2 linked regions of the Elephas maximus indicus genome follow. The protein of the gene in region 2 interacts with the protein of the main gene of each other region in a pairwise test. Links are inferred from orthologs where the notes say so. Each region holds a gene or a part of one and is shown on either strand. Other genes may lie near its edges.

The links.
Region 1: the proteins of ARRB1 (region 2) and GNMT interact in binary tests that used the Homo sapiens proteins (3 or more experiments, as listed by UniProt). The link is inferred for Elephas maximus indicus from reciprocal best matches to the Homo sapiens genes ARRB1 and GNMT.

What each region holds. Positions count from the first base shown.
Region 1 is NC_064819.1:107,373,550-107,389,818, reverse strand, and holds GNMT (glycine N-methyltransferase), read right to left. Parts: upstream 7,363-16,269; 5' UTR 7,055-7,362; coding exon 6,849-7,054; intron 6,035-6,848; coding exon 5,907-6,034; intron 5,448-5,906; coding exon 5,331-5,447; intron 5,108-5,330; coding exon 4,965-5,107; intron 4,865-4,964; coding exon 4,743-4,864; intron 4,660-4,742; coding exon 4,488-4,659; 3' UTR 4,283-4,487; downstream 1-4,282. Other genes in the region: PEX6 (peroxisome biogenesis factor 6), read left to right, coding at 237-661, 870-1,065, 1,266-1,342, 1,490-1,622, 1,701-1,906, 2,034-2,095, 2,328-2,436, 2,907-3,023 and 3 more; CNPY3 (protein canopy homolog 3), read right to left, coding at 15,146-15,369, 15,671-15,788, 16,014-16,136. UniProt on the Homo sapiens protein: Catalyzes the methylation of glycine by using S-adenosylmethionine (AdoMet) to form N-methylglycine (sarcosine) with the concomitant production of S-adenosylhomocysteine (AdoHcy), a reaction regulated by the binding of 5-methyltetrahydrofolate.
Region 2 is NC_064825.1:47,149,577-47,165,374, forward strand, and holds the start of ARRB1 (beta-arrestin-1), read left to right. Parts: upstream 1-7,656; 5' UTR 7,657-7,883; coding exon 7,884-7,903; intron 7,904-15,798. UniProt on the Homo sapiens protein: Functions in regulating agonist-mediated G-protein coupled receptor (GPCR) signaling by mediating both receptor desensitization and resensitization processes.

The sequences.
Region 1 (16,269 bases), on a different chromosome or scaffold from region 2:
GAAGTGCTTTCATGAGAGAAGGGGTTTTAAGATTTTGGGTGACAGTTCAGAATCCAGGAAATAGCACTAGGGAATGGGTAAGGAAGAGGTGGGACTTTGGCTGTGTTACCCTCTTAATCCCTGCCTGCCAAAAAAAAAAGACGGCCTGCATCTTCTGACTCATTGTCCCCTCTCCCTGCCCAGTCACAGCTCCCCCTTGCTCACATGCTCACAGGCCCATTGGGCTCCTCTCCCAGGTACCCTGCTCCAGCCTCTGTGCAGACAGCAGCGGGGCTGTGGAGACCAAACTGCAGGCCACCTTTTCCCGGGCCCGGCGCTGCCGGCCGGCGGTGCTGCTGCTGACAGCTCTGGACCTTCTGGGCCGGGACCGCGAGGGGCTAGGTGAGGATGCCCGTGTGGTGGCCACGCTGCGTCACCTCCTCCTCGATGAGGACCCACTCACCAGGTATTTATATAGAGCTGGGCCTGTTAGCAGGGCAACGCCCAGCTCTCTGACTTCTCTTCAGCCTTTTTGGTCCTTTATTCCCTGTGGCCCCTCAATGACTTCTCGGACATCTACGCCCATTTGGCTGCCCTCTAGGCAGACCTGTGTGAAGGCCTTAGCGTGTCCAGAGGGAGCAAGATGTGGTCCCACCCCTGGGAAACACTGGCTTGAAGAAAAGTGAGCCCTTCATGTGATGGGGGAGAAAGGTTCCCCTCTCAAGGTTTTCCCATGGACCCTCATCCAAGAACCTTTGGGGTGCTCATCTCTGTCCCATCCTGGCACCCACCTCAACACCCTCACCCTCTGCACCAGCCTCAGGATGAGGCAGTGCTCAGGAGCTGCCAGCCACGGTCTTGCCTTCAGCGCCCATTTGCCTTCTGTGTAGCTGCCCTCCCCTGATGGTTGTGGCCACCACAAGCCGGGCCCGGGACCTGCCTGCTGATGTGCAGACAGCATTCCCACACGAGCTGGAGGTGCCTGTGCTGACAGAGGGGCAGCGGCTCAGCATCCTGCAGGCTCTCACTGCCCACCTGCCCCTGGGCCAAGAGGTGAACCTGGCCCAGCTGGCACGGCGGTGTGCCGTGAGTACCATGCAGGGTGCTGGGCCTCCCTGTGTTCCTTGTCCCAGGAACTCAGTCCTGCCACCCCGCAAGCGGAGGGGTAGAAAACCCTACTGCATCCACGCTGGGCCTCTGCTGCTGACAGGGGGACCACTTCCACATCCCCCAAAGGTTCCCACCTACTGTACCCTGCTCATCTGCCCTTTCCTCTGGTTCCCCAGGGCTTTGTGGTGGGGGATCTCTATGCCCTTCTGACCCATAGCAGCCGTGCAGCCTGCACCAGGATCAAGAACTCAGGGTAAGGAAACTCTGGCACAGGGTGGGGAAGGAGGCAAGAGGAAATATGGGCTGGGGCCTGGCGAGGAAGGGAGAAGGGAACAGGACCCTGGTGGGGAGGAGGCCTTAGGTGAGGTCTTTCAGAGGCTTCCTGAGTTTCTCTTTGCAGTTTGGCAGGTGGCTGGAGTGAGGAGGATGAGGGGGAGCTGTGTGTAGCTGGCTTCCCCCTCCTGGCAGAGGACTTCGGGCAGGCGCTGGAGCAGCTGCAGGCAGCACACTCCCAAGCTGTGGGCGCCCCCAAGGTAGACTCCAGGCCCTTGGAGGTGGGGCAGGAGCTCCTCCTCCAGAATATCCCCAGCCATGCACCCTCCGTCTCCTAGATCCCCTCGGTGTCCTGGCACGATGTGGGCGGGCTGCAGGAGGTGAAGAAGGAGATCCTGGAGACCATCCAGCTCCCTCTGGAGCACCCTGAGCTGCTGAGCCTGGGCCTCAGGCGCTCAGGCCTCCTGCTGCATGGGCCCCCTGGCACTGGCAAAACCCTTCTGGCCAAGGCCGTGGCCACTGAGTGCAGCCTTACCTTCCTCAGGTGGCCAGGGGCCTAGAAGGGATGCTGGGTGGGCTGGGGGCTGTAGCAGGCTGGGAGGGGTGGCCCGAGAGGGCGATTGTATGTGTCTGCATCTGGCAAGTCTCACCTCTCACATCCTCTCATTCAGCGTGAAGGGACCAGAACTCATCAACATGTACGTGGGCCAAAGTGAGGAGAACGTGCGGGAAGGTGAGCAAGCAAACCCTGGTAGTCCTGTGTTGCTTCCCTGCCCCACTTCCCCAGGCTGCTCATGGTGGTTTCTAGTCCGCCATTCCACAAGTTGGGTTCCTGCCCAGCAGAGTCTAGTACCTGGAGTGCTGGGGATGAATGGTCAAACCTCAGTTTCCTTCCTTCTTTGCCCTGGCTTCAAGCCCCACCCCCGTGAACTTCCCCCTCCCATGGGCCTTCTCTCTCCCCTCAGTGTTTGCCAGGGCCAGGGCTGCAGCTCCATGTGTCATCTTCTTTGATGAACTGGACTCCTTGGCCCCAAGTCGGGGGCGAAGTGGAGACTCTGGAGGAGTGATGGACAGGTGGGGTCTGAGCAGGAATGGGATCTGGGGTCTAGAATGGGAGGGATGGGAGACAGGTCACAGCCAACTCTGGACCAGAGCCCAAAGATACAAGTTCCTGTCCTTCTGGTTCTCAGATACTGTAAAAAAAAAAACGAAACTCCTTGCCATCGAGCCGATTCTGACTCATAGTGACCCTATAGAACAGAGTAGAACTGTCCCGTAGGGTTTCCAAGGAGTGCCTGCTGGATTCGAATGACCTTTTGATTAGCAGCCGTAGCGCTTAACCACTACACCACCAGGATTTCCTCAGATAGTATAGCGGAGGCTAAAAGCAGGGCATTGTTGTTGGGTGTGGGACATGAGGGAGAATGGGGGCCTGCATGGAGGGATGTGCAGGGCATGACTGAACAAAAGGCCCTGTTGAGAAAACTGGTAACAAGAGGCACACAGGACCAAGGGCTCTCCAGCCTTCTCTTCCTCCTTTCCAGGGTGGTGTCTCAGCTCCTGGCCGAGCTGGATGGGCTTCACAGCACTCAGGATGTGTTTGTGATCGGAGCCACCAACAGGCCAGACCTCCTGGACCCTGCCCTGCTGAGGCCTGGCAGGTGGGTACCCCATACCTCTCACGTCCACCAGGCCACCCCCATTTGGGCCTGTCCCTCAACCCCCACCCTGTATCTCCTCCACCCCTCATGGTGGGGTTCCCTGGTGCAGATGCCAGCCTAGGCTCCTGAGGGAGGAGGAACTTGACCTTCTCTACCTGTCTCCCTAAAGATTTGACAAGCTGGTGTTTGTGGGCGCGAGCGAGGACAGGGCCTCCCAGCTGCGGGTTCTGAGCGCCATCACACGCAAGTATGCCCTGTTAGAAGATTTCCAAAGGGTTCGGGCCTTGGGATAGACTAGCTGGCGAGCTTTTGAAGGAGTAGGCGATGCCAGCGATAATGCTGTCTCCTGTCTCCCCTCCACAGATTCAAGCTGGAACCCACTGTGAGCCTGGTGAGGGTGCTGGATCACTGCCCTCCCCAGCTGACGGGCGCTGACCTCTACTCCCTCTGCTCTGACGCTATGACAACTGCCCTCAAACGCAGGGTTCGGGACTTGGAGGAAGGTGAGCCACTCGCCAGCCCCAGAAGTCAGCCAAAAAGCAGGTGGAAGGCAGGCCTGGTTCTGGATTGCAGAGGAGGGACCGTTTACATCTGGGGGATTCTGGACAGGAAGGTGCCTCCACCAGGACTCTCCCTGCCTGGGCATAGATCTGTTCCCCAGCTGGCATGGGGACTCTGGCCTTGACTGGCCCTTGTCACTTCCCAGGGCTGGAGCTGGGGAACCCAGCACTGCAGCTCACTATGGAGGACCTACTGCAGGCTGCCGCCCGGCTGCAACCCTCCATCAGCGAGCAGGAGCTGCTCCGGTACAAGCGCATCCAGCGCAAGTTTGCCGCCTGCTAGGAGCCTCCTGTGGCCCGGGACCCACCCACAATGGCTAAAGGTGCTTCAGTATCCCCACAGAGACCTGAGAGGAAGGAAGAGGCTCTTCTCAGGCTATTTCCCACCCACCTGAAGGCTGCCTACTTCCAGGAGCTCCCCTAGGGTAGAGTGGCATTGGGAGTACCAGGAAGAGCTCAAGAGGCATGCCCTGTCTACCTGTCCCTCCTCCCAGGCCAGCTCCATGAGGTCAATCTGCTCAGGAGGAGGGGCCAGTGCCTGGGGTTCTGGGGATTGGCCAGATCCGAGGCTGAAAATAAAGTATATGCTGCCCTCTGCTGGTGTCATTTGGTGAAAGATTCATAAGGCACAGAGCCATGTGGTGAGAGAAGTAAACCCTAGGGGCAGGCGTGCAGGGGTGGGTACCATAGGAGCCTGATCCTTCTGACATAAACACAAGGCATATGGGAACTGAAAAAGGCACAGATTCTATTCTTAGCCCTTCCGTTTGCCTGAATTCAAATCTTTATGCCCACCTGTAGTTGGCCCCTCCCCACACCCCCGGTATCTGCCCTGCTGTCTGTGCCCACGTCCCAGACAGCCCGGCAGTGCCTGGGCTCAGGGCTGTGGAAGCTGCGGCTGCACTCAGTCTGTCTTCTTGAGCACGTGGATGAAGTAGCAGGGAACATAGGCCTGGCCCGGCTTGTAAGGCTTGAAGTCACCCAGGATGCTGTGCTGGCACTTGCCCCCGAAGGCTGCTTGGAGCAGCTCTGTGAAGGGTGCCAGGCAGTGTGGGTAGTAGGAGAGCCGGAACTTACTGCAACAGAGCCCCAGGAGACCTTGAGGGCAGGTGGCCCAGCTATCCCCCCCCCTCACACCCCTGCCTAGCCCTGTGGGTACCTCATGCCAGGAGACCCAGCCTGGCTGGCCCCAGGCACCTGCACTGTGTAGTCCAGGGTCACCATGTGGACTTTGTTGTTCACTGTCAGCACCGATGTCGTGATGTCCTTGGTCAGGTCACTCTGCAGGCCATGGTACAGACAGTATTAGCCTCTGCAGCCCACGGTGGGGCCCCTGGATCACACCTCCCACTCTGAGCCTTCCTCCCCCAGTGAGACCCACCTTATAGTAGATGTTCTTCCCTGGGGGTGCACAGCCTGTGCTGAGGATGTGGTCGTAGTTGCGGTGGTCAATGACCAACAGGCCCCCCAACCGCACCATGCTTGCAATGTTCTTCAGTGCCAGCTGGTGCTCGCTCTGGTCCCCTGAGCTCCAGGCAGGGGCAGGGAGGCTCCGTCTGCTCAGGACCCTCCAGCACCCATCTCCCTCCCATCTCTCCCTCTCCCTCCCCAGGGGTACCAGTGCCAAGGCAGAGAAGGGCAAAGCAAAGAATCCACTTTACAGGAAAGCAGGCACCCAGGGCAGGGATCTATAGAAAGGGATATAGCTCAGGGCAAGGACCATGCCCAAGGCCACACCCTCTCTCACCTTTGCAGTCTGGCAAGTGGGCAAAACTGTTTCCAAGGCAAATGACAGCATCGAAGCCACCCCCTGGTGGCTGGGGCACATCTTTGTCTAGAGTCATCCAGTTAGCTTCTTCAATAACTGGGAGCCAAAAAGGTGAAGAAGAACCAGAGTAACACAGTTTACATGGTACCAGTAGCACCCACCTCCAACAAATGCAGTCTTGCCTCTGTTTCCTCTTCAAAACAGGCACTCCCCATTCTGTTAGGGGGAGGGGATCATTATGTACATGGAGGGTGAGCAGGAAGAGAGGCCAGGGGAGGAGGAGGGCATAGTTGGGAAAGAGGACTCCGTGCTTATGGGTTTTCATTCATGGGGGGAGGTAAAGGACACAATAAACACAGTTAAGGTAGCTCTTCACGCCTTGTCCTTCTTCTAATGCCTAACCCTCCCTTATCTGGCAAGTGACAGTAATTTTTCTTCTGATCTTACTGTCCCCCTGGGGGTGGGACACCCCATCCATGGACTAAAGGAGCCCAGGGCAGAGAGAACAATGTCCCTGATAGCTGGGCTGGGGAGGGCTTGGCTGACCCGGCATACCCCACTCGTCGAAGCCAGGCTCGTGCCGCCGGTCCCAGCGCTCTTTAAGTGCATATTTCAGCATCCTGTCACTGGCATCCACGCTGGTCACGCTGAAGCCCTCTTCCACCAGCATGATGGAGTCCACCCTGGGCAGAGCCGGGGATGAGTGGCAAAAAGGGGCAGTCAGGGGGGCTGGGAGGACAAGGAGGAATCCCTGTGCTGGACATCTCTGCTTCCTCAACCCATCAGAGTCCATTCTTCTGCTTCCTTTTCCTGGGCCTTCTCTGCCGACCTCAGATGAGCTCACAAATCTGCTTATCACCACGTAGCAACTTTTTCTTTATCACCTATTCAGATCCAGGCACTCAACAAATGTGCAACCCTGTGAGGTGGTGTCTCCATTTTAGAGATGGGCAAGCTGAGGCTAGGGGAAATTAACTTGGGCACAGGAGGAGGCAGTTTAGTATGCACACGCCAGCCAGACCCTAACCAACCTCACTACCCTTCACCTCTCCACTACATGGGGGTCCTTGCTTCTCTGAGACTTAATGTGCCCAACTGTAAATGGGGAGTTCACTGCTTACCTCATAGGGTTTTGCGAGATTTTAAAAACTGATGTGTCAAAAGCTCCGGGACAGCACTTGGCACTGGCCAACGATGAACAAATGTTATTTGATAACATTGCCCAAGGCCAACCAACGCTCAAGGAACAACGCAGGAGCCAGGATTGAACTTGGCGTCGTCGGTTGGGGCTTTTCCACCGCCCCGGGAGCCCTCCCGCCCGGCCCACCGTTGCGCCCGCACCCTCACTCAAGCCCTCTCTTCTCGCCCCTCTATGGTCGGCCTCCCCCCGTGTCCTCTTCGTGCCCGTTCTGCCGGGACAGAGGGGGAGCTGCCCGGACGTGCCCGGCGGTGGTCCGAGCCGCCCCGCCGCGCCCCCCACCAGCCCGCCGGGCTCACCCCGTGCCGCAGGCCACGTCCAGCACCCGCTGGCAGCCGTGCTGGCGCAGCAGCCCGAGCAGCCAGGCCTTGTACTCGGCCGTGCGGCTGCGGGTGTCCCCGATGTAGAGCTGCCACACGCGCGCGGCCTCCCCGTCCGCGTACTGGTCCGGGAGCCCCTCAGCCGCCACCCCCAGGGATCGGGTCCGGTACACGCTGTCCACCATCCTGCGCCACGCCGAGTGCGGCAACCACTCGCTCGCACTTATAGCGTGCGTGGCCGCTGCCGCTGCCGGGGCCGGGCGACCCCACCTGCCAATGGCAGGTGAGCTCGGGATACGCCCCTGCTGGGCTCTGGCCCCGGCGTCGGCTGCCAGGCGGTGAAGAGGGTGCAGCCTCGAATCCTTGACCCGGCCCTTATTGTCAGGCTGAGGACCCAACCCTCTGGTCACTCCCACAGCGGGAAATGACCCTCCTGCAGTCCCAGCCCTCTTCCCACTTAACGTGGTCGCCAGGAGGACAGGGGAGGGTCTGGGAGAGGGGACCAGTGAGATTGCTCACTCCATCTGCACCCATGCTGGATAGAAAGGGAAAGAAATTTCCAACTTCAAAATTTACAGAGCTGAGCGCCCAGGGGGGCAGGTGGGGACCGTCCCCAGCGAAGGAAGTATCAGCATGTCTAAGGAAAGACTGCCCAGTGGAAAGGGCCTAGGAAAGGGAGAAAATAGGAAGTCTGTCCATCCAAGTCCAGGAAAAGAGAGCCCTGGCCCAAGGAATAGTCCCGCCCCCTTGGAGGCCAGTGTGCCTTTGTGGTGTAGGTGACGCATTAAGCTTTTCCCTGAGCCACCTATGCTGGAGTCTGGTGGCTTCCTTCCTATTCTTCCCCCTCCTATCGCCCTTAAAAAGACCATCGGCTTTTCACGGAGGTGCCCGCAGGGAGGGAAGTGTGGAGTCAGGGGTGAGGGTGATTGGAGCTCTTGCTATTTTATCGCTTCTTGCCAGAGCGATATATTGGTCCTTTGGTTTGGTTACAGTAAGCCCACCCTTCCTCCCCAGAGCAGTAGGCTTCTCTTCGGAGGACAAGATCCTGGGCTGATGTGGATTCCCTAAGACGATGCCACCCAGCAAAGCCTGAGACATGGAGAACAGCCCTCCCTACCTGACTTTGTTCTTCTGGCTGCAGAAAGAGTTACGGAATTTAGAGCAAAGGAGGCTCCTTCCCCTAACCACCTTAGCCTCCGTAGAATCTCGGAGCTGGATGAACCCCCAAAATCATTCTGAACTTTCTATTTTATGTGAACTGCCTCAAACAGGTCTATCCATGTTCAAGTCAAGGAGCCTTGTGCTCACGCTGACCCAGGTCTTTGGCAACAGGCTAAGAAAGGCATTGTAGTAGGGATGTGCAAGTAAACTCAGTTACTCTCTTAGCAGAATATTCTGGGGGAAGTCCGCCTCATCACCCCCAGGCTTAAAAAAAAAAAACTCATGTTAAAAGAATTATTCTCTCAGTTGTGGGCAGCAATCTGTGTGCTATGACCTCAAATCAAAGCAGTTGAGTGGCTGGCTTTTTTTTTTTTAAGTATGAGGCCTATCCAAGAAAATCAGTGCCTTCCTTGGGTAGGAAAATTCATTCTTTACTTAAAAAAAGCTTCACATTTATTTTGCCCTAAATCAGGAGAAAAGTAATTGATTATCTGGCTGTAAATGGACGAGTTCAGCATTAAAATCTGCTAACAATTTTGTCATATCATAAGAAATGAAATTTTAAGGAAAAACAGGCCTAAAATTAAAAGAAAAAAAATATTTAATTTCATCTCACTGGAGTTCTGTAAGTCCACTCAGGGAAAAATGAGTAATGACGTTAAATAGGAATAACAACCAAAATGACAAGAGAAATAATTTATCACTGTCCACATATGGATTGGCTGAATATAAAATATTTGAAAAGCTAACTAAGTATAAGTAGCCTAGGGCAATTCATCATTATTTTTTCTCATACTGTTTTCTCTTCCATTTGCTTTGTCTGGGAAAGGAATGCCGAAATAGGCAGGAGGGTCACTCTTTTACCCTTCTAATGCATTTGAGGTAAACCTGGGATTTTCTCAGGGCTCAAAAGCTGTTGAGAAATGTCACCTTTAGAATGACCAGGATCATCTCATCAACAGGTTGTTAAGGTTTACCAGGTTCTTTGGGTCTAAATATTTACGGGCAAGTATTCCTGTGACATTTCTCCTTGGGATATTCATATAACTAATGAAGCCTGGGAGAAGAGCATTGTTTGTAGCAGACATCTCTGTCCACTCTTTCACCTGGAAATTGCCAAAGAAGATCCAATTTAGAAACTCTTTGATAAAACTACCAACCAGGTGACAGAGTTGATTCCAACACATGACAACCCTGTGTGTGTCAGAGCAGAACTGCGCTCCATAGCTTTTGTATTTTTTTTTTATTGTATTTTAGATAGTTTACAGAACAAACGAGTTTCTCATCAGTTAGTACACACACTGTTCCATGACACTGATTAACAACCCCATGACATGTCAACGCTCTCCCTTCTCAACCCTTGGTTCCCCATTACCAGCTTTCCTGTTCCCTCCTGGCTTCCAGTCCCTTTCCCAGGGCTGGTGCGCCCCTTTAGTCTTGTTTTGTTCCATGGGTCTGTTAAATCTTTGGCTGGAGGGTGAACCTCAGGAGTGACCTCATTACGGAGCTGAAAGGGTGTCTGGGGGCCATACTCTCAGGGTTTCTCCAGTCTGCGTCACGCTAGCAAGTTCTGGTCTTTTTTTCTGAGTTAGAATTTTGTTCTACATTTTTCTCCAGCTCTGTCCGGGACCCTCTATTATGATCCCTGTCAGAGCAGTCAGTGGTGGTAGCCAGGCACCACCTAGTTGCACTGGACTCAGTCTGGTGGAGCCTGTGGTAGATGTGGTCCATTAGTCCCAACCCATAGGGTTTTGATAAAACTAGCTCCAAAAAAAAAAGTATTTTGTTTCATCTAGATAAGGAAAAAAAAAAAAAAGGTCATCTAGAACATCTATTTAAGCATCTTGCTTTTTAATTTGGTGTAATGTGATTTCCCCCTCTAGGGCAAGATTTTCCATGTCTAGAAACTATTTCAGTCTTTTCCTTTTAAGCTGAGAGCTGTTTGAAATTTTGGAGTAATCCTCAGACTTCCTAATGTTTGTACAGCATGTTGTGATTGGCCTGCAGCCATGCACTCACCATACTGATAAGGAATCTGACTTAAATGTTTGGTTTTAAGTATTGATGCCTAACACTTTGAGAAACATAGTTTTTTACCCCCAAGGCCATAATGCGATTTTTTAAATAATATGAATGCTGGTGGTAAGTTAGGGTTGAAAAAATTATGGATTGTGAGTACCTTCTATTTCAAAGATTTTAGTTCCCAAATTAATGATTTTCTTTCTCATCTAGATGTATTTTAAAAATAAACAAAATGTTGAGATCATAGTCTACATGAAATTTCATGTTTTTCTTCAATTTTTTTTTCTTTAAACTATCAAAAGTGTATTTTCTTCTCTTGACCATAAATTGCTTGGCCTTAAGCACCTTTTTAATGTCCATGTAACAGTCCATTGAGGGGGATGCGTTGTGACTTAATCATTCCCCAAGTTTTGAACATTCAAATATAGAAATCAATCTAGTTTGACTTAATTGAAAATAAAAATAGGTGATATTTGAAATATGCAAAACTTATTTGGAATTGGCTGAAAAGACTAAATTCTTCATCTCCAAATATTTAATATGTATGCAAAAAGACTTTAGCTTGGGACTATGGCTGCACCTGGACAAATTCCAAAGCAATTCCTCCCTGAGGACACATTAAAATCCTGAATTGTGATTCATGTATGTGCAGTAGCTACAAATGAAAGACATCTTGGATGTTTTTTATTTAGAACAGGTAGATATTCATTTTCAGATGATGGATGTCACATTCCAAACTTCGGTCCAAATAAAAAAAAAAAAACTAAACTCGTTGCCACTGAATTCAAACTTATGGCAACCCTATGTGTTACAGAGCAAAACTCTCCTTTACAGAAGAAGCCCTTTCTTCCGGGGTGCTACAGAGTGGGTTTGAAGTTTAACCTTTATGTTAGCAGTCAAGTGCAAAGCGTTTGCCTCACACAGGGACCTAACTTCAGTCCAAGCTGCTGAAAAAAGCTCTTCTCCACTGACACTGTCAACCCAGATTGAACACTGGATGCTGGGGGAGGGGAGGGAAGGGAAGCTGCCCCCCTGCATGGACTCTGCCAGCAGAATTATCACAGTGGGTGCGTTTTGGCACTTTTTTATGTACCATATAAGGCTCAATCTGATCTAAGTCTGGTTAAGTGTAAAATAGATTCCCTGTATCAGTGGGTTGTAACACTAGTAATGGTGCCTTCATTACTACTATACTTCATGCACCTCTGAGAATTTCACCAATGTATGAGGACAGGTTCTCTTTGACCATGTCACACGTTGCTAAAAGCAGTTTTAAGATGTACTAACGTTTAACGTCCATTATAAAACCCTCGTGGCGTAGTAGTTAAGAACTACAGCTGCTAACCTAAAGGACAGCAGTTCAAATCCACCAGGCGTTCCCTGGAAACCATATGGGACAGTTTTACTCTGTCCTATAGGGTCATTATGAGTCGGAATCGACTCGAGGGCAACGGGTTTGGTTTTTAACCACCATTAATCTCTCTTTGGTATCCAGGGGACTGCTCACTGTTTTTCAACATAAAAATGGTACACTAATCATTAAGGGTGATGGAAAAATTCCGGATAAATGGTGATGGTTGATCAGCATGATGAGCGTAAGTCACTTAACTGTACATGGGAAGTGTTGAAATGGCAACTATTTTGCTACCTACATATTTGCCACAATTAAAAAAGATATACTATTCAGGCCCTGGCAACAGGTTAAACATTGCTCATTGAAACATGTGACTTAGTACATGCCATCAGATCTAGGTGAGGTAGAGAGTAAATTTTGTTTCTATTTGGGCACTATAGTGATGCAGGGCAGCTGTAAACATCGGGACAGGTTGTACACTGTGCAAGGGCTCCACATTTTTTTTTCTCCCATTTTAACCATTTTTATTTAAGGGCTCCACATTTAAAGGGCTCCATTCACATTGCCAACTTTATAGGCTTGTGTACTTATTATTATATAATTATAATCTTCTGGCAAACAGTGTCTTATTCTAACAAAACATATTTAAACAACCTTCTAACAGATGGAAGTCAAATGTGTAAAGAGCATCTTTCTCTAACTTGTGCAAAGGCGCTGCATGGAAACGCCACCCAGCAACTGGGATAAGGAGTGAAGCCTGCCTTTTAGGCACTGCCCTTTAAAATTCACACACACAGGCCCTGAGGTGCCACTGCTGATACTAGAACCTAGCCCTTGAGACTTGACTGTATCCCTGCCTGTGGTTCTTTTAAGCACTGAACGGGTATAAACTGGCCTGTGCTTTGTCCACCTGCCTTTGGGAGTCTGGCTGATGGAAATCTCCTACAAAGATGGATTCAATCTGGGGTTCTGAGAAGTTGGGTTTCTGAGGACAAGACCCTGGCCCAGTGTGACTTCATCAAAGCCCCATCTTAGGGCAACACCTGGGGTTGACAAATGCTGGAGTCCATGGGTGGTACAAATAGTTCATGTGCTCAGCTGCTAACTGAAAGGTTGGAGGTTGGAGTCTACTCGGAGGTGCCTTGGAAGAAAAACCTACCATTGAAAACCCTATGGAGCACGGTTCTACTCTGACATACATGGTGTCACCATGAGTCAAAATCAACTTGTCAGCAACAGGTTACACTGCCAAATGTTGCCTGAAGTGGGTCCCAGCGGGCTATGTCAGAACCATCAGAGATGCCTGTTAAGCATGCAGAGTCTCCAACCCAGCAGGACTGAGGTGGGTCCAGAGGTCTGTATGTTTAACAGGTGACTCTCATGTCCAGGCAAGTTTAGGAAACTGTTTTAGTAGGGGGACTGAGATCAGATTAACTCAGGCTCAGGCAGTACCCTCACCTTATGGAAGGGAAGAAATGTGGGAAAATGGACTTACTAGCCAAGTTCAAAAAAGACTTGTATGTATGGTGGGAATAGGAAAAGAAAACCCTGGGAAGTCAGATCCTGCCTCTGCCTCTGCTGGGGTGGGCTGGGTGCAGAGCTAGTGAGTGTACAACACACCTGGCCCTCAGGAGGGGGAGGGGGCTTGTCATCCCGCAGCCACAGGTCAAAGAGCAAAGCAAGACAGCGCTGCCTGTCCTGAGGATTGGCCCATGCGGCCAACACCCTGGGAAAGGCGATAGGCCTTTGCCCCATTCTACCTTACATTCAGAATCAATGAAACTCCAGGGACAGAGGCAAACCAGGCACTGAAATGCTGTGGGTTAGTGACAGAATGGCGGGTATCAGGGACAGGCCACCGAATCCTAGACAGTCCAAGGGGCTGCAAATGATTGCCCACCCTGGGTTCCAGCCCCCACCCCACCCCAGCCATCTCCTATGCTCAGAGCAAAGTCCGGGGGCGGGGGGGGGGGTGGGACCTGGCTCTAGATTGGATCTCACTGCCCACCAGCATCTTTAACAGTGGACAGTATCGGTCCGGAGATGAGGCGGTGGGGGTCTAGATGAAAAAAGTATCTTCCTCCAAGGACCTAGTTTTAAGCCTCCACAGCCAGTTTGCTCCAATCTCCATGGTCAAGACTGCCTTAACTTGGAGGAAGGGGAAGCGGGGCTAAGCAGGCCCCCTCACCCACAGTAACTGAGACCTGAAAGCCTCTTTACTAAACCCCTGAGAGTCTTCAGCAGAACTCCTTCCTGCTGGGCCCAGACAGGGAAAGTGGGAGGTGGAGTCTCAGTCTTGGCCTCTGTCTGTGAAGGCACAGCTCCACGGGGCCTTTGCCATTGATTCTTTCCAAGAAGCAACAGTTGCTTCCTACTTTCCTTTTAAAAGAGCCTTGTTGGTAGGTGGTGAGTTAGGCCCAAGAAACCAAACCAGTTCAAAATGAATTAGTTTCAGTGCTAGATGTTAGGAAGAGACCCTGGTAGCTGTGAAGTAGTGGGAAATACAATAGATCTTTCTAAGGTGAAAACCTATGTCTGCTTGTACCACTGTCCCCAAGTAGTAGGACTTTGGGCACTTTACTTGACTTCAGCCTTAATTTCTACAAAATGGCTTAAGACCACAAGTACATTGAAGCACTGGGAAGACATACAACTGTCATCGCTACTGCTCACAACTGTCCTGATCCCTGACCTCAGGACTGACAGGGGAGGGACCTGAGCCTCCCACCCCTTCTCCCCACAGGCCAGCCTTTTGTTCCTCCCCTGGCCCCAGGGAACATAGTGTAACCAAGAGGTGTTGCTGAGGAACTGGGGTGTCCTCCCCTCAGACTCCAGCTGGGAAGAGCAGAGTGCTCAAGTGTGGTCATCAAGGAACAAGGTCCAAGACCAATAGGCAGGGCCACGTGGAGGTGGGAGGGAGAGGCAGGAGCCAGTGGGATAACCAGTAAACACTTTACACAACAAATGGGAAGGCCCTGGGGAAGGACAGGCAGGAGAGGAGGGAGCAAAGAGAAAGAGGGCAAGCAAGTGCCCAGGGCATGAGGTTCAGCTGAGGGACAGGGTCAGGCCCCAAAATAACCCTGGGCCCTCCCTGTGTTTGCTGTTCCCAACAGCTGGTAGGTTCTGCCTCCAGTGGGAGGATGGGGGCGGCTGAGAGAAGGTGAGGGCCAGGAAGGAGCAACAAGGGGCTCCAGGGCACTCCTGAGGGGTTGAAAAGGACTCAGAAATCGGGACAAAAAAGGCCAAGAGGTTTTTACTCTGCACACTGTACTGTGAGCCCCAGGGAAGAGGGCCAGAAGAGCGTAAGGTGTCCCCAGGGCAGGGTTAGCAGGGAAGGGGAGCTATGGGTGCTGCAGTCTTGCTCCCCTGTAGGGTAAGGCATGGGGACTGAAGGCTGGGCATGCCTCCTGTGGGCTCCAGTCCTGGTGCCCAGCTCAGACCCCCACCCCTCCTGAGTTTACATCAGAGTCCTTGGCAGTCCTGAAACCACATGGCCTGGTCAAGCCCATGTCAGGAGAGATGCTTGGCTGAGGGATAAGACCGGCTCAGGCTAACCGCTACTGTTCTGAGTTCTTCCTGGGGCTGTGCTTTCCTTGGCGGGAAGAGGGCACAGCTGAGGCAGGAAGGACCCTGGGGCTGGAGAAGCCGCCTTTGCTTGCCAGAGCCTGCCCCAGCTTCTTTAGCTTCCAGGTCAGGGGTCTCTTGCTACACCCTTGGTACAGGGGATGCTGGGTTAGGCTCAAAGCTCATCGGCGGGGCTATGTGTGAGTGGGGATGCCTTCTGGATGCCCTCCTCCTCCTCAGGGCCGGAGTCTCCCTCGAGGTCACCCAGCTCTTTCCTCTGTTTGCTGCTGCTGCTCCTGCCACCTGAGGCCTTGGCCTTGCTGCCCTTCTTCTTGGACTTCTTCCTTCCCAGGGCAGCCGTGTCCCCCTTCTTGCCAGACCACTGCTCTGCCAGGCAACCTGGAGTGAGGAGGGAAGATTCCTCAACAGAGGCACCTCAGGAGTGGCTTCCTGGGTGAGAAGCACTGACTGGGGAGCAACTGGAGTTGGCACCCACCTCCTCCCTCACTGTGTCCACCAGGCCCCCTGGGGGCATCTGCGTGATCCACTGTTCTGCACCTGGTGCCTCTTATCTCACCGTGCCCTGTGACATCCGCAATTCCCTTTCCATCCTCTCCCTACCCACCTTCCCTGAGGGGGGGAGCAAACCAGAAAATCCTTTGGGACCATTCGCCTACCCTCTCCCTCCCCTCAGACTCACTGGTGTCCTTTCCCTTGAGCACGTGGTTGGCACAGAGGAACTCTGTCAGGTCCTCCTCCTGGTGGTTCCTGTACCAGTCCTCGATCACCTCCTCAAACTCCTCCACCATCACGTCGCACTGTTAATCACAATGCCTCACGCTGGCAAAGCCCAAGCACCGGGCTGCCTCACAGATGAGCTCACTGAGCCTCACAACCCACTGCAAGATGGCAGGTGGCTGCAGTTCTCCTAAGGACTCTGAAGCCTGGGAGGTGAAATGGCCTGACCAGTCACCCAGCTCTTGGTGGCCTTCCTCAGGCACAGACCCAATCCCACCCAGCCCCGAGAGCTGAAGGGCCTGTACCTGCTTCTTGAGGTCCGCCACCTCTGCTGAGGTCTCGTTCCACAGCTCGTAGGGGATGTCCATCACCACCTTGACTCCTTTGTGCACCAGGTTGTGTAGCGTCTCAAAGGTCTCTGACATGCCCTGGAAGGGGTGGCCAGACATGGGAGGCAGGGCCACCTTCTCTACATCCCTCCCTCCTCTCCTGGTGGGGATGGAAGCCCGAAGAGAGACAGACACACATACACACACACACACACATCCTGCCTCCCCACAT
Region 2 (15,798 bases):
CAATTCAAAGGCATCAATTCTTCTTCGGTCTTCCTTATTCATTGTCCAGCTTTCACATGCATATGAGGCGATTGAAAATACCATCGCTTGGGTCAGACACACCTTAGTCTTCAAGGTGACATCTTTGCTTTTCGACACTTTCAAGAGGTCCTTTGCAGCATATTTGCTCAATGCACTGTCTTTTGAGTTCTTGAGTACTGTTTCCATGGCTGTTGATTGTGGATCCAAGTAAAGCGAAATCCTTGACAACTTCAATCTTTTCTCCATTTATCATGATGTGGCTTGTTGGTCCAGTTGTGAGGATTTTTATTTTCTATGTTGAGGTGTAATCCATACTGAAGGTTGTGATCTTTGATCTTCATCAGTAAGTGCTTCAAGTACTCTTTACTCCGAGCAAGCAAGGTTGTGTCATCTGCATAATGCAGGTTGTTGAGTCTTCCTCCGATCCTGACGCCCTGTTCTTCTTCATATAGTCCAGCTTCTAGGATTATTTGTTCAGCATACAGATTGAATAGGTATGATGAAAGGATACAACCCTGATGCACACCTTTCCTGACTTTAAATCATTCGGTATCCCCTTGTTCTGTCCAAACAACAGCCTCTTGATCTTTGTACAGGTTCCTCATAAGCACAATTAAGTGTTCTGAAATTCCCATTCTTCACAATGTTATCTATAATTTGTTACAATCCACACAGTTGAATGCTTTTGCATAGTCAAAAAACCCAGGTAAACATCCTTTTGGTATTCTCTGCTTTCAGCCAGGATCCATCTGACATCAGCAATGATATCTCTAGTTCCATGTCCTCTTCTGAATCCGGCCTGAATATCTGGCAGTTCATGTTGATATACTGCTACAGCTGCTTTTGAATGATCTTCAGCAAAATTTTGCTTGCGAGTGATATTAATGATATTGTTCGATAATTTCTACATGCAGTTGGATCACCTTTCTCGGGAATAGGCATAAATATGGATCTCTTCCAGTCAGTTGGCCAGGTAGCTGTCTTCCAAATTTCTTGGCATAGATGAGTGAGCACTGCCAATGCTGCATCCATTCCTTGAAACATCTCAATTGATATTCCTTCAATTCCTGGAGCCTTGTTTTTCTCCAATGCCTTCAGAGCAGCTTGGACTCCTTCCTTCAGTCATTTTGGTTCCTGATCATATGCTACCTCTTGAAATGGTTGTATGTCAACTAATTCTTTTTGGTAATATGACTCTAAGTATTCCTTCCATTTTCTTTTTTTTTTTTTTCTTTTTGTTGGGTCATGAACTCTTAAAGTTAAAATGAAAGAGATGGACACTTGTAGGGAGCTTAACATTTACCCTAAGCCTCTGGTTCATACCTTTTTTTAAATCTCCAAGTAGAAAGTGTAAATTAATAAGAAACTATCGAATTTATGATACTTTGCTTATAAAGAGCTTAAATAAAAAGAAATGTGGGTATCTGTATTTGGGCATTTTGTAATTGACCAGGCAGTTCATTAAACCTAATGTACCCATATTTATTTTAGCCAAGAAAAATACACGTCAGGTCATACAAGAAAAAAATTTATATTCTCTTTATTATAGGTAGTAAAAAGGCAATATTATCTGAGGACTAATCCTCTGCAAAACTTCTGCATCTGACTTGGTTTTATAAACTTACTGTAGTGATTCATTTCTTCCCTTTCTCCAAACACCTGCCTAAAACCTACGTTCTTTCTCTCAACAAGCACGCTCTCCTACCAATGCACTCAGTAATTTCCAAATGACAGATCTGGCTAAATATTTTAAGTAACATAAAAACTATAAGAGTTAAAACTAGGTCCATTCTGATTACTTATAGATAGTTCACATATATTATCTCCAAGAAAAATACTGTTGTTGGTAGGTGCCGTTGAGTTGATTCCGGCTCGTAGTGACCCTATGTGACAGAGTAGAACTGCCCCGTGGGGTTTTCTAGGCTGTAATCTTTTTTTTTTTTTTTATAACTTTTATTAAGCTTCAAGTGAAAGTTTACAAATCCAATCAGTCTGTCACATGTAAGTTTACATACATCTCACTCCCTACTCCCACTTGCTCTCCCCCTCTTGAGTCAGCCCTTTCAGTCTCTCCTTTCTTGCCAATTTTGCCGGCTTCCCTCTCTCTCTATCCTCCCATCCCCCCTCCAGACAAGAGTTGCCAACACACTCTCAAGTGTCCACCTGATATAATTAGTTCACTCTTCATCAGCATCTCTCTCCCCGCTGCTGACCAGTCCCTTTCATGTCTGATGAGTTGTCTTCGGGGATGGTTCCTGTCCTGTGCCAACACCTTCCATTTTCTTTTGATGCTATTTTCTAGGGAAGAACATGCTGTAACCATCTGGTGGCCCCAAATTTGATCCTCTGATACCTCAAGTCACTAAGGCTGCAGCTTTCTATTTGAGTTCTAGCTTCCCTGTGCTGCACAGACTGAGGAATATCCTCAGGTAGAAAGCATATAAAAGTGGATTTCGCCCAGTAAGTTTCCCATCTTTCAAAGGTAGAGTTCCCTCCAGTTTTTGACCGGTTTTGTTTGCTCTCCAGAGCCTTCAAATATTGTTTTTTGTATTTTGTTCAAAGTTTATATTGTTAATGTTAGACTGATACAAGGTACTCCACTATTGCTGGAATGGGAAGCACTGTTTTTAAAAGCTACCAATTACTAAGGCAACCTGAACAAGAATATCTGACCCCTAATTGCACCTCCTAGCCCTGAGCTCTTACTGTAACTATTAGGAATCTACTCAAGCTGCATTTCCCAGTGACGTGCACATCTGTGTTTTTTTGGCTGCTCATTCTCTAAAATCCTTTCTTATTTTTGGAGAATTCTCCACCATATGTGTCCTCCCAGTACGGATGTCACAAATGCCAGCTACATAGTTTCTCAGTGTCCCTAATAGCAAGAGAAGGGTCATATGAACCTAGGCGGAGCCAATCAGATGCACTGGGGATATTGATTTAAGGGTGTAGGGCCAGCAAATAATCCATTTTGATGGCAGAGGCCATATCTAGTTTCTGGGGCAGCAGTGGGGTAAGGTTGGTGCTGGCAGTAGTGGGGGTGTGAGTTGTGTCCATTGTTCAGCAGAGGAGCTGCCCGAATATCTTGCCAATAAATTCGTTTTATGCTTAAGCCAGCCAGAACTGGTTTTTGCTGATTACAAATGAGAACCTTGAATTGTTCAGCTAACGATAAATACCAATGATTCCACCACAAGGAAATGGGGAATGGAATCTTGTTAGACAAACCTAAAACAGCCCGAAGCTGCCCAGTCTCTGAGCCTACTTCCTTAGGATATGGTTGCCATCTTTCTTCCCAGCCCCTCCCCCACCCTCTCTATGCTTTGGCCACAGATCGCTCTGAATTCCCCCAATGTGTCATGCCCTTTCCTTCCTCCCTGGCTTTACAGCTGTTATGTGTCCTCTCCCTGAAAGGCAGTTACCATCCTTCCTTAATCTGCTGACTTTGCCTCCTAATTGGTCTCTTCTCCTGCAACCACTCTGGCTTGGGTCCAATTCATTCTTCACACAACAGCCAGAGTGATCATCTCAAAACACGTGTCTGATCATGCTACTGCTCTGCTTAAAATCCTTCGAACACTCTTCATTGGTCTTCGGTAAAGATCATATTCCCTAGCATGACACTTCAGGCTCTGCATGGGCTCTTGCCTGCTTCCCAGCTTTACCGAGGAATATTTACAAGGGAGAATTCTGGGACTGGGTTGCTACGGATTGAAGTGGGCAAGGGAGGTGTCCAGGATGACATCCAGATTTGCGGTTGGGGCAGAGGTGGTGAAGGTCCTTAGTTTCTTATCTACTAACATCTCAAAGGGCTGTCAACCTCAAATCCTTTGTTGAACAAGGAGCTGAAAACTCATCCACTTACCCATCCACCCACCTATCCATCCACTCTTCAATCTGACATTCAACGACATGACCAGGTAAGCAGATGCTTTGGGTTTGAGCCCAATCTTTACCTTTCATTTACTATATCATTGGCCTAGGCCCTTTCCCTCTTAAAGCCTCTGCTTTCTCATATATGAAGCAGGAATAATACTTCATTTCTCTCTCTCTTTTTTTGGGTAAGGGATTATTATTAAGTGGTAAATTTCAGGCATATGTCTGGCCCAAGTTGAGACATAGTCGGAGATGACCAACTCCTATGGACCTCAGTAATAGAATCCTTTTGCCTTTTAGAAAAATCACTCTGGTGTTCAGCTAGAGGATGTATTAGAAATGGATTGAGATGGGAAGGAAGGAGTACTCCAGTCCTCACAACCTCACTTCCCATATGTGGGGATGTAGCCTGTGTGGACGCTGGAACAAACAGGCCCTGCCCCAAATCTCTGAGTCATTTGGATTCTCCACAGTCCACTGACAACGCCTCAGCAGGTGCTGTTGGCTCTGCCTCCAAATATATCTGAACTTCTTACTTCTTTTCATTTCTGTGCCACCATACTAGCCCAAACCACCACCCACTCTTTCTTGGCTACTACAATAATGTGGCGCCCTGTATCTGCTCTTGTCTCAATCCAAGTTGTATCCATTCAACAGCCAGAGTGACCTTTAAAATGTAAAGCAGATACTGTTACTCCTGCCTAAACCCTCCACTGGCTCCCTGACTCCTCACCCGCACCTATAAAGCATTACCTGATCTGACCCCCGCCAGCTTCTGGTCTACCACTCCTTCCTTCCCTGTTCACCCAAATCCAGCCACATAGTCCTTGTTCTTGCCCATTAGAAAGGCCAAGCTTTTGTACTTGCTGCTCCTTCTTCCTGGGAAGCTCTTCCCTTGACTCTTCACATCGCTGGTTCCTTACCTACAGGTTTTAGCCCAAATGTCATCTCCTTGAAGAGCCTTTCTGTAAGTACACTGGCCCCCAGGCACTCTATTTTATTACCATTTTATTTTCTTCATAATACTTATTACTGTCTTAAATCATGTTATTTATATTTATAGAGTTCTCCTCAATGTCACTATTTTTAAGTGTATATTAATTTTGATTTTACAGGTAATACCAGAATACATTCTCCATAGAGCCTGACATATTATCAGGAGGGATCAATCCCTGAAGACTGACATTATGCTCGGTAAAATAGAGGGCCAGCGAAAAAGAGGAAGACCCTCGATGAGATGGATTGACACAGTGGCTGCAACCATGGGCCCAAGCATAGCAATAATTGCCAGGATGGTGCAAGACCAGGCAGTGTTTTGTTCTGTTGTGCATAGGGTCACTATGAGTCAGAACAGGCTCAACAGCATCTAACAACAACAACAACAGAGCTTGACAGGTAAAGCAAAATACTCTTCTTACTCCTCTTCCCCCAGCTTAGATTCCTCATTGAAATGAAAGCCGCATTTGTCTTCTTGGCCACTGATTTTTAAGTTCCTAGAACCATGCTTAGCACATAGTGGGTCTTCAATAAACTGTTATTGAATGAAGAATAAATTGTGGGTTAAATTCTGGTCTACTATGTATTAGCTCCGTTTTGGGGAGGGCACAAGGAAGGGAGGTCCAAAGGAGGCTATGGACTCAAGCAAATTACTTAGCTTCTCTGAGCATCCATTCACTCATTTATAAAATGGGGAAAAGAATATTTATTTCACATAATTTTGAGCCTCAAGTAGTGCCAGACACACCATACACCCCCTCATGAAGTTTACAGGCTAGTGGAGATGTACTGGAAACCTTGACTGTTGACTCCATAGTCTGCCAATCTGTTCAATGTCCCTACAATGCTAGAGTCAGGCTTCTCAAACCGGCTGGAAAGAGCTGTTCTGGATTGGGTGTGGGGGCGGGGAGCCCAAAACCATCTGATGCATCTTCCTAGACTGTTTATTTTACTTGAACGTAATTAAAAATGTGATTTTTGTAGTAAAATGAACATAAGTATTTATTGAGTGGAATTAAGAATTTGCCTGACAAATGTATTGCATGCATTTTTATAACAATTAAAAAAAAAAAAAAAGTCAGGAAAAAAAGTCTGCCTGAATTTTTAAATAAAGTTCAAAGGTGCTTTAGCATCAGCATGGGGAGAGCCACTGGAGACCATGTGGTTTGGTCGAACCCACGCTTTAGAAGTGGGGAGCTTGGGGTGCAGAGAGTGGTAAGACCTGGCCTGTGCATCCTGTTAGGGTCCTCTCTGGCTCACCCAGTGAGTCTCTTGTCATCATAGGAGAACTATGGTCTGCTGTTCTCAAGATTCCTGACCCCTGCAGAAACAGCAGGGGCTTCCCCTTCTTTCTCTTTGGAAGGAGAATGGGGCCCAGAGGTCAAGGCCTGGAGGAGGGTTCTAGGCCTAAGTGCACACTCTCCTTGCACCTAGCATTGCCTGGAGCCTGGACCACCCTGCCTGCCCATCAGTTCACCCCTCCCAATCTAGACATAATTATGGTAATTATACTGGGATATCATTACCCAACTATATATAAAACCAGCATAGGTAACTGCTTCTGAGCATAATTACAGGAGATGTTTACAGACCCACAATCGCATCAGAGTAAATGATAGCTTCCTTTCCTCCCACTAATACGCCAATATTAGGGACCCATCAGGGCCAATTAGCCAAATCCCAGCAGAGCGGGGGTGGAAAAGACCTCACACTCTCCCACTACCTACAAATCAGGGTCTCAGCCAGCCATTTCCCTGGACACCAAGAAGTCTGGAGAGGGATGAGCCAACATTTACTGGGTACCTACCGTGTGCCAGGCCCTCAGGGGGAGTCCGGCAAACACAAGCAAATTTTTAAAATCTATGAACAATTCTGAGGGACAGTATTGGTATTCCCACTTTAAAGATTTGGAAGTTGGCACTGAGAGGCCTGTTGTCCAGGGTCACCAACAGCTGGTGGTGGAGCTGGACCAGAGCGCCTTCCACGATGCTACCGGGCCAGGCCAGCCTCCTGGCTCGCAGCCCCGAAGGTTCTTTGCTCCCTTCACATACTCCTTATCTCCTCCTCTCACAGCTTCCTCTTCCCGCTGCCCTGCTCGCCTCCCGCCCCCTTCCACCCTCATCAGTTCCCCAATATCGATGTTGTTTTCGCCTGCCCTCTCTGTCCCTTCTTCCTGCCTCTATTGGGTGGTTGGGTGTTATCTCTCAAGTAGGGGGTTGCATAGGGCGAGGGCCTTGCCAGGCATGCGGAGTCTCAAGCCAATTCCCTTCACCCCCGCCGGGGGGCGCCGCCAGGGGCTTGGCCCCGGGGTGCGCCGACCTTCGGCTTCCACCCACAAGCACACACAAAGGCTGTCTCCAGTGTGCGCGGGACAGCTCACTAGTACCCACGGCAGTGCGTACACACGCACAACTGCATGAAGACGTGCACACTCCTCCATCCACACAAATACACTCCCAAATAGGCCCGCGCACACCGCCGTGTCCACGCACTGCAAGGCGGCATATACTCTCGTGTGCACACACCGCACACATATACCCAAGCCGGCGTGTATCTTCACGCACACACACACGTACGCGCACACAGTTGGGCACGCACCCTTGTATACCGGCAAATGCAGACCTCGGGGCCCTGACGTGTATCGCTGCCCTGCCCTCGCGGCTCTCTGGGCGGTGCACGCGCGCGCGCGCGCGCGCACACACACACACGCACGCACTCACACACAGATACACACACGCACACACACACACACGGACAGACACACCCCGGTCGGCTCCACGCCCCTGGCCGCGGCCCGGGCTCTGCGCGGCGCGGCGCTGCTGGGCTGCAGGCGGGGACCTGGACGAGGGCGGGGGAGGAGGCGGTGGCCGGGCGAGCAGAGGAGGCGGAGCAGGCAGTCGGGAGCGGGCTGGCCCGCACTCCTCCTGCCGGCCGGGGATTTTCCAGCCGGTACGCTGAAGCCGTGGACCTCCCTGCCGCCGCCACGGACCATGGGCGACAAAGGGACACGGTGAGTGCTATCGGTGGCCTGGTCTGGCGCGCGGGGGGGGCGGCCTAGGCGATAGCAGAGGCGAAGGTTGTAGTCCGCGTCCTGGCGCTGCGTTTGCAGTCACTCCAGGACCGCTGACGCCTGAGTCCGCGGGACCCTGCTCACCTCTGCCAGGGGTCTCTTGTGTGGTCACTGGCAGGGGCCGCAGGCGGGGGTACCCAGAGGGTGAGGACCGGGCCGCCCCAGCTGCCTCGCGGCTCCTTACCGAAACACACACACACTCACTCACGCGCTGACACCCAGCCCTGGCCAGGCAGGCGCAGAGACGCATGGGGGCAGGTTGACACACAATGGCACACACTCATGTGGACACACGGGGCACACGCACTCATGGGCACACTCATGACAGCACACACAATGACATCCACTGTCACACACTTATCACATATAGTGACACACTGTCACACACTCCCAGATACACACTGTGGTATACATTTGGCAACACATTCATGCTGACAGTCATGCTGGCATAGGTGGGTACACACCTAAACATAGAAACATTAATACCTCATGCTGGCGCACAAACATTGGCCCTCAGTGACACACATGCACACTGTCACTTGCACTCACTGTAATACTTTTACTGGCACACGCGTTGTCACCCTCACTGACCAGACACACCTGTGCTAGCACAGATCTCACCAACACGGTGGAACGCAAGACCACACCAACACTGACCCACACAGACACACGTCAGACTGATGCCCACACAGACTGGCACCCCATAGGCACCAGCAAGCGACCACGGGGCTGCTGACACACTCCCTCCAGTCCCCACATGGTAAGAAATGGAAACACATATACATCACACAGGGTGGGGGCGCCTCGCCTGGAGCCTGGGAAAAACAGGTCCTATGGACTCTTTTCCTTTCCCTCTGACCTCCTGAGGCCTGGGGTGGCTGGCCAGGATCTGTTTTGAGCTAGAGATGGGGAGAGGGGCTCCTAGATAGGAGCCTGCCCTAGAAGATTAGACTAGGAACCAGAGAAGTTATGCATCTGAAACGGGAAACTGGGACAAAAGGGGCAGGGGCGGGGGCTGGGGCAAGGTAGCCCCTGGGAACAGCCCTGTGGGACCAAGACAAGCCCTGGTCTGGTATTCAGCTTTGTCACCCTGCTTCTATCTCTACCACTCTTTCCGCCCCCTTAGGTTCTGCTAGCAGTCTCTCCCTTGTCTCTTCCTCTTTCCTACCCCTTTTTGCTACTTGGACTTTTTCAATTGTCCCTTCTTTACCTTCTATCCCCGGTCCCACTTCTCCCCCCCTCCTCCCTCCCTCCATTCTCTTTCCCTCAGCCCTCCCTCCCTCTCTCTCCTTCTTTCCAGCAATTATTTATTGAGAGCCTACTGTGTACTAGGCACAGTGTGGGGTCAAAGACTTGCAAGATGCATTCCTTCCCGGAAGGAGCTAACGGACTAGAGAGAAACCGCACTAGTGGTCGTCACCTTCCGGACCACTGACAAAGCAGTTTCTTACCCACTGCCTTCTGAGATCTCAGTAGCAGGAGAAAGGTCCTACAGAAATTATTTCCATTTTCTGGAAGAAGAAACTGAGGCTCAGAGATAACTTATCCTTTTAGTGTTTAGAAACTGCTTCTCCACCATTCTCCTGACAGCTCTTCCAGGAGGTTAATTTTCCTTTTCCCGTTTTCCAAAAGATGAACTGGAGCATTAGAGAGGTCACCTGGCTTGCCTAAGGTCAAGAGGGGTCAGAGGCAGGGTAGAGGCTGGAACCCACCTGCTCTGTTTCTCTGTGGCTCCCTTTTGGGCATTGCCAAGCCCCTCATGGGCCCTGGGTTGGGGAGACAGGGTGGCGTACCTTGCTCTGTGTGTGGGGCCCAGGCTTATGGGGGAAGCTGCGAAAGGTCACAGAGCATCTGCATTCACCCTGACGGCTACTCTCCATCAAAGAAGGCCTGGCCAGCACTGTGTCCAGCTGTCTGTCCTCAGCAGGAGGGTGTGTGACTCCTGCGTTCTCCCTGCAGGACACAGTGGGGGCCAGGAGTCATAGCTCCTGTCCTGTGTTCCGCCAGTGCTGCTTCATGATCAGGGTGATTCAGCCCCTCTTGGGCCTTGGTTTGCCTCTTGGTGACTTGGGGAGAAGTGTCATTGCTCCCCTGCTGGCTTGTTGGCAGAATGCGTTCACCATGAGCAGTCAGGCCCCAATGGGCACCTGTTGGAGACCCTGTCTCTGGAGCCAGGGCTTTTTCCATCACTCCTCCACTGTGCCTCTAATTCGGTACAGAAACTCGGGGACCTTGGGCAATTGCCTTCAGCTTTCTGGACCTCAGTTTTCCCATCTGTAAATTGGAGCTGTGAATTGTGCTTATTGAGTTCACAGTGTGTGGATTCCTTGCGCTTACTGAATCCACTGGGAGGAAAGATGGCCCTGACTGAAGTCTAGAGCCAAGGCCTGGCTAAACTCCACCAGATGATCCTCCCTTCAGCCACCACCACAGTCCCAGGAGGCCTCTCTCTCCCTTTCCAGACAGGTAATCTGAGTAATTTGGTAGAAAAGGGCAAAATCAATAATGGGCCATGCCCTGCCTTGTTTCCTAAGCCTTAGGATTCTACTTGATGACTTAGAAGAGGAAACTGCCAATACCCAATACTCTAAGGATCAGGAGCCATCACGTGCATCCCTCTGCCTCAGATTGCACCCCCTGTATGAAAGTGACAATACAAATTAATCAGAAACTGCCACTGACCTCTAGGAACTCCCAGGACCAAGGGTGAAAGAGACAAAGACCTGAATGGGACTAATCCAGTGTAGCTATTATGATGATTGCTATAACAAGGTGCTCTGAAACCAATCATACATTCTTCCAACAAATGCTGACCGAGAGCCTTCTGAGTGCCAGGGCCTGGGGTTCAGAGATGACTGACTCCATCCGCCTACAAAGCAGGTGATTATGATGCAGGGTGACACGCACCATGGAAGGCCTAAGGATGAGTCCCCAACCCAGACCTGGGCAGCGGGCATGGTGAAGGGAGCTTTCCTGGGAAGGAGGTGGCCTTGGAGCTACTGAGTTCGTCTAGAAGGATAAGGGGGCCAGGGGGTAGGACTGGGGCCGTCACTCCTGGCTGAGGGTACAGATGTGTAGAGGCTTGGAGGCATGAAACAACAAGTGCAGCCTGGGGGCTGGGCTGGGGGTGGTGGATGGGCCTTAGGAGGTAAGCACAGGCCAGTCACCCGCTGCCCGGAATGTCAAAGTAAGGAGAGAGAATTTTCTCCTGAAGTCAGTGGTGATTCAGAGAAGAGTGTGAGGCAGGGGAGGGATAGGAGCAGATTTTTGGTTCAGAGAGATGCCTTTGGCAGCAGCATGGAGAGTAGATGGGAGGGGAAGGCTGGAAGCAGGGGACCAGTGAGGAGGGTGGGGAGGAACCTGAGAGAAGATGAGATCTGAACTAAGGCTCTGGGCAGGATGGAGCTGAGAAGAAATATTAAGAAGGTGGAATCTGTCAGTCTTGCTTGTTGACTGGACTTGTGGTGGGTCTCTGGTATGTGTCAGGAGATTTATATGCATAATCTCATTTGATTCTCCCAATGATCCAGTTAAAGTAGGGATTGTTGTTCCCATTTTACAGACAAGGGACAAACTAGGAGAGGCAAGATAACTTGCCCATTGTCATTCAGCCAGTGAGGGTTGAACCTAGGCCTGTCTGTCCACAAAACTATCTGCTGCTCCACACTTTTGTCCCAAAGGAGGGGAGCTTGTCTGGTTCACAGTTGGCCTACCACTGCACCCCTAGCCTCAAGTTGTACGTCCCTACTGGGATGTTTCCACCAACTCGATTGGTAGCATGAAGGATCAGATTTAGACAGCAGGAGGAACTTCCTGAGAGGCAATGGGATGGACTGGAATTTCCTTTCCTGCAGATGTTTATGAATTCTTCTTTTTTCTGGGAGAGGGGAAGAGTGCGGGTGTGATGGGAACATGTAATCACCAGCTCTCTGTGAACCTTGGCTGTCGTCTCTCTCGGTGGTTATGTCCAGTGTGACCCATCTGGGCTGCAATATGGGGAAGTCCTGTGGCTTTGGCCAGAGTTGCTCCTGGGGCTACTAGGAGCAGGAGCATTGAGCCTGGCCCACTGTATCTGATCCCCAATTCTGGCTGGCCTCTGCACTTCAGACTTCTCCATAGCCCTCTTTCTTCCAAGTTTGGGCCTCCTTGCCAAAGCCTTCCCACTAGCATGGGTTTTCAGGGATCCCAAGCCTTGGGCTTGCCAAGGTGAGCTGGTTACAGCTCACCTCAGGGCTGTGGTATTGGAGGAACAGGCTGGGTGGGAGTCATGGCCTCCTGGCCTCTACCAGGCCACCCTCTACTGATGCCAGAGTAACCATGCTGACTACCTCACTAGGGCCTACAGGGAGGGGCACGTTGGTGAGGGAGCTAGGGCAGCCAGCTTTAGGCTGTTGGGGAAGATACAGGGAGGCAGCTGGATAGATGGGTCTGGATCTCAGGATAGGAGTCAGGGTGGAAGACAGGGATTTGAGTCTTCAGGGTAGAGATGGCAGCTGGCTTCGGACAGTGGATGACATGGTACAGGAGAGCGTATAAAGTACATAAAGAAGATGGTCAGGGACAGTGGAGGCCTTGGATAGAGCAGATAAGATACAAAGGATTCCAATAGGAGGTAGAAAAGGAGCATCCAGAGAGGTAGGAGGCAATTGAGGGGAGGCTGTGTCCTGAGAGCAAAAAAGCAGGGAAGGACCAACAGTGGATGAGCTTGAGAAAGGCCCCTGTAATTTAGCCAGAAGGCAGTCACTGGTGACCTTGGTGAGAGGGATTTTGGTGAGGGTAGAGCCGGACTGCAACAGGCAGAGGAGGGGGAGAGGCGAAAGGACCCCCTTTCTTTTTTTATTGTGCTTTAGGTGAAAGTTTACAAATCAAGCCTGTCTCTCATACAAAAAGCCATACACACCCCACTGTGCACTCCCAGCTGCTCTCCCCTTAATGAGACAGCACATTCCTCCTCTCCACCCTGTACTCCCCGTGTCCATTCAACCAACTCCTGTCCCCCTCTTCCTTCTTATCTGGCCACCAGACAGGAGTCACCCGCATAGTCTCGTGTGTCTACTTGAGCCACGAAGTTCACTCCTCACCAGCATCGTTGTCTATCATATAGGACAGGACCCTGTTTTTCTGCATGCCTGGAGCTGGGGGTAGGCCTCTTGGAGGCAGGGTGTGCGGCCCTGGGCTGGGGGTGATGGGGATCTGGGAGGGGCCATCCCATCCACCCCCTCTTCTGCCTGTGGCCTGTGGCCTGAGGCAGAAGCCTGCTGCCTGCATTCCTCCTAGGCTCAGCACAAAAGACTCTAAAGGTAGTGGTGGGGGGGACGCACATCAGGGGCAGTGTGAGTTGGTCACAGGGCAAGGCGGTGCTGAGCTCTGAAAGGAGGGGCATCTAACCCTGGTTGGGGGCCTTGGGGAAGGCTTCCTGGGGGAGGTGAACCCTGAGCTGGATTCTGGAGCCTGAGGACAGCCTAGGTGGGCGAGGGTGTTCTGGACAGAAGGACGAGTGTCTGCACAGGTGCAGGTACTGGGTGCAGGTGCGGGAGTGTGAGGGGAGAGGCCGCTGAGGTATGTGCCGCCTTGGCAAGCAGGCCTTGGGGGCTGGAGTGGTGGAGCTCTCAAGGCGCTTTGTTCACACCCCAGGTGTCTGTGTTCCCCAATTGGTGAGCTCCTTGTGGTTCCAGCTATTTTTATTTCCTGTTGGTTGCTCCACTATCTCCCTCCTGGTCTGGTTTATAGGAGATGCCTGGCAGAGGCTTGTTGGGGTTTGGACTGAACTCTTTTTTCCCTTCTTGCCTCTGCTCTTAGCCCAAGGCCTCCCTAAGTGTGAAATTAGGTCTTTCTAAGGATGGAAGGAAGCCATGTTTCCCACCAGATGAAACATCATTAGACTGGGAGCTGGGGGGTGGGGTCAGGAGTCCTCCATCAGACTGGAAACTCCTGGGGGAGTTGTACATCTGAATGGGGCTTCTGGTGATGAGGTCTGTCTCTCCCCCATCAGCCTGAGGACTCCTAAGGGGGGATGTCTTCCACATCCGAGTGGAAGCTGATGGAAGAGGCTGTGTGTTTGCCATCAGGCTGGAATTTTTGAAGATGGGGACCATTTCTTCCCCATCAGACTGGGTGCCTCTGAGGATGAGGCCTATGTCTTCTCCATCAGACAAGCTCCTGTAGGTGGGAGCCATTCTCCCATATCAGAGTGGGGGTTTCCGAAGGTGAGGCCATGTCTCCTGCACAAGTCCTGGGATTAGAACAGGTATCATCTCTGTTGGTTCCTGGGCAGCCTCCCACCCTCCTTCTTGAGTGCAGGATGAGTCATGCCCCAGAGTTGGCTTGAGTCTTAGGAGGGGGGTGTAGAACAGAGGGTGGGCAGGACAGGGTAGCTGCTTTTGAGAGGGGAACAAAGGACTCTTGTCCCAGCGCCCTCTCTCCCTCCCCAAGAGGCCCTGGCTGGGTCATCTCTCAGGAGACGGGCCTCCTTCCTGGGACTGGCCCCATCTTTAGTCCCAATTCAGAGGGACTGCTTGTTCCTTCCTAAGAAAGCTCATGCCAGACAAGGGCCCTAGGAGGCCAGGTCCCAGGAACGGGACGAGACAGTTTCCTGGTGTTCTGTGTGACTGAGGTCACCACAGCAACTGAGCAACTTTTCCTCTGTCTCAGGCTGGGCCAGGCTGTGGGGTGAGACCACAACTGACCATAGGTCCCCCTACCGCTGGAGAGGGATATGTCTGCTGGTGTAAAGAGCCTCAAGTAAGTAGCATGCTATGGGCCAATGTCAGTCAGTAGGAGGCAAGTTCAACATCCAGGCTGTTCAGTGGCCTTGCAGGGTTCACCCAGAGGTCCAGAGACTATGTTGTTCAGGGCTCAGAGTGGGTGTGGGTCTAGGTGAGGCAGGAGTCCCTCTCATGCTGGCCCTGGGCCTCCAGCTGCACAGAGAGTCCTGTTGGTCCTTTAGCAGCTTCCCCACCTCCCCCAGCCTGTACAATCAGTGGACATGGACAAGTGTTGGCAAAGGACCAGAGGAGGGGGTGAGGAGTGGACCGCTGGACTACACCATCTCAGGAGGGTCCCAGAGGTATGTGCTCATGCTTACTCATTGCTGTGTGACCTTGGGCACAGAAATGACCCTCTCTGGGTCCTGGTGTCCCTCTGGAAGTCAAGTCCACCAGCATGTGTGAGGCCGTTCTCCCTGAGTCACCTGCCTTCTATGCTCTAGGAGGTTCTGGTGGGTTGGAGGATGACCTTTCTTCTGGGGGGGCCAGCAGTGGAGCGGGGCAGCTCAGGCACCTACTACAGACCAGTGGGACCAAGGCCGACTGTGGAGCAGTGGATGGGGGTGGGGTGGAAGTGCTGAAGGCTAGGAAGGGGTCAACTCCTGCTTGAAAGAGTGATGCTCTCTCCCATGGAATCAGGTTCTCGAGCCAGGAACACTCCACCTCTGGGATCTCATCTGCTGCCTCCTGCCCTTCCCGGAATGTCAAAGTATCTGTAGTAACTGAAAGGTCATTCGTGGTTTCATTTAACTCAGCTCAGGCTGTTCCCTCCATATGAACACCCTTCCCCCTCTTCCTTTCAAGATTCTGTTCAGGGATCACCTCCTCCAGGAAGCCTTCTCTGTGTCTCCAGTCTACATGGGGCCCCTCCTCTGCACTCCCATCACCCCCTGTGCTTCCTTTACTCTATCATCTGAGAAGCATAAATCAGAGGTTGATTCACCACCTAGTGGTTAGGATCCAGGAAGAACCTGATTTCGCAGTTTCAAACCCAACTCTGCCCCTTCCTAGCTAGGGGAAAATGATTATTTAAAAAAAAAAAAAAATTTTTTTTTTTTCTGCTGTACTTCC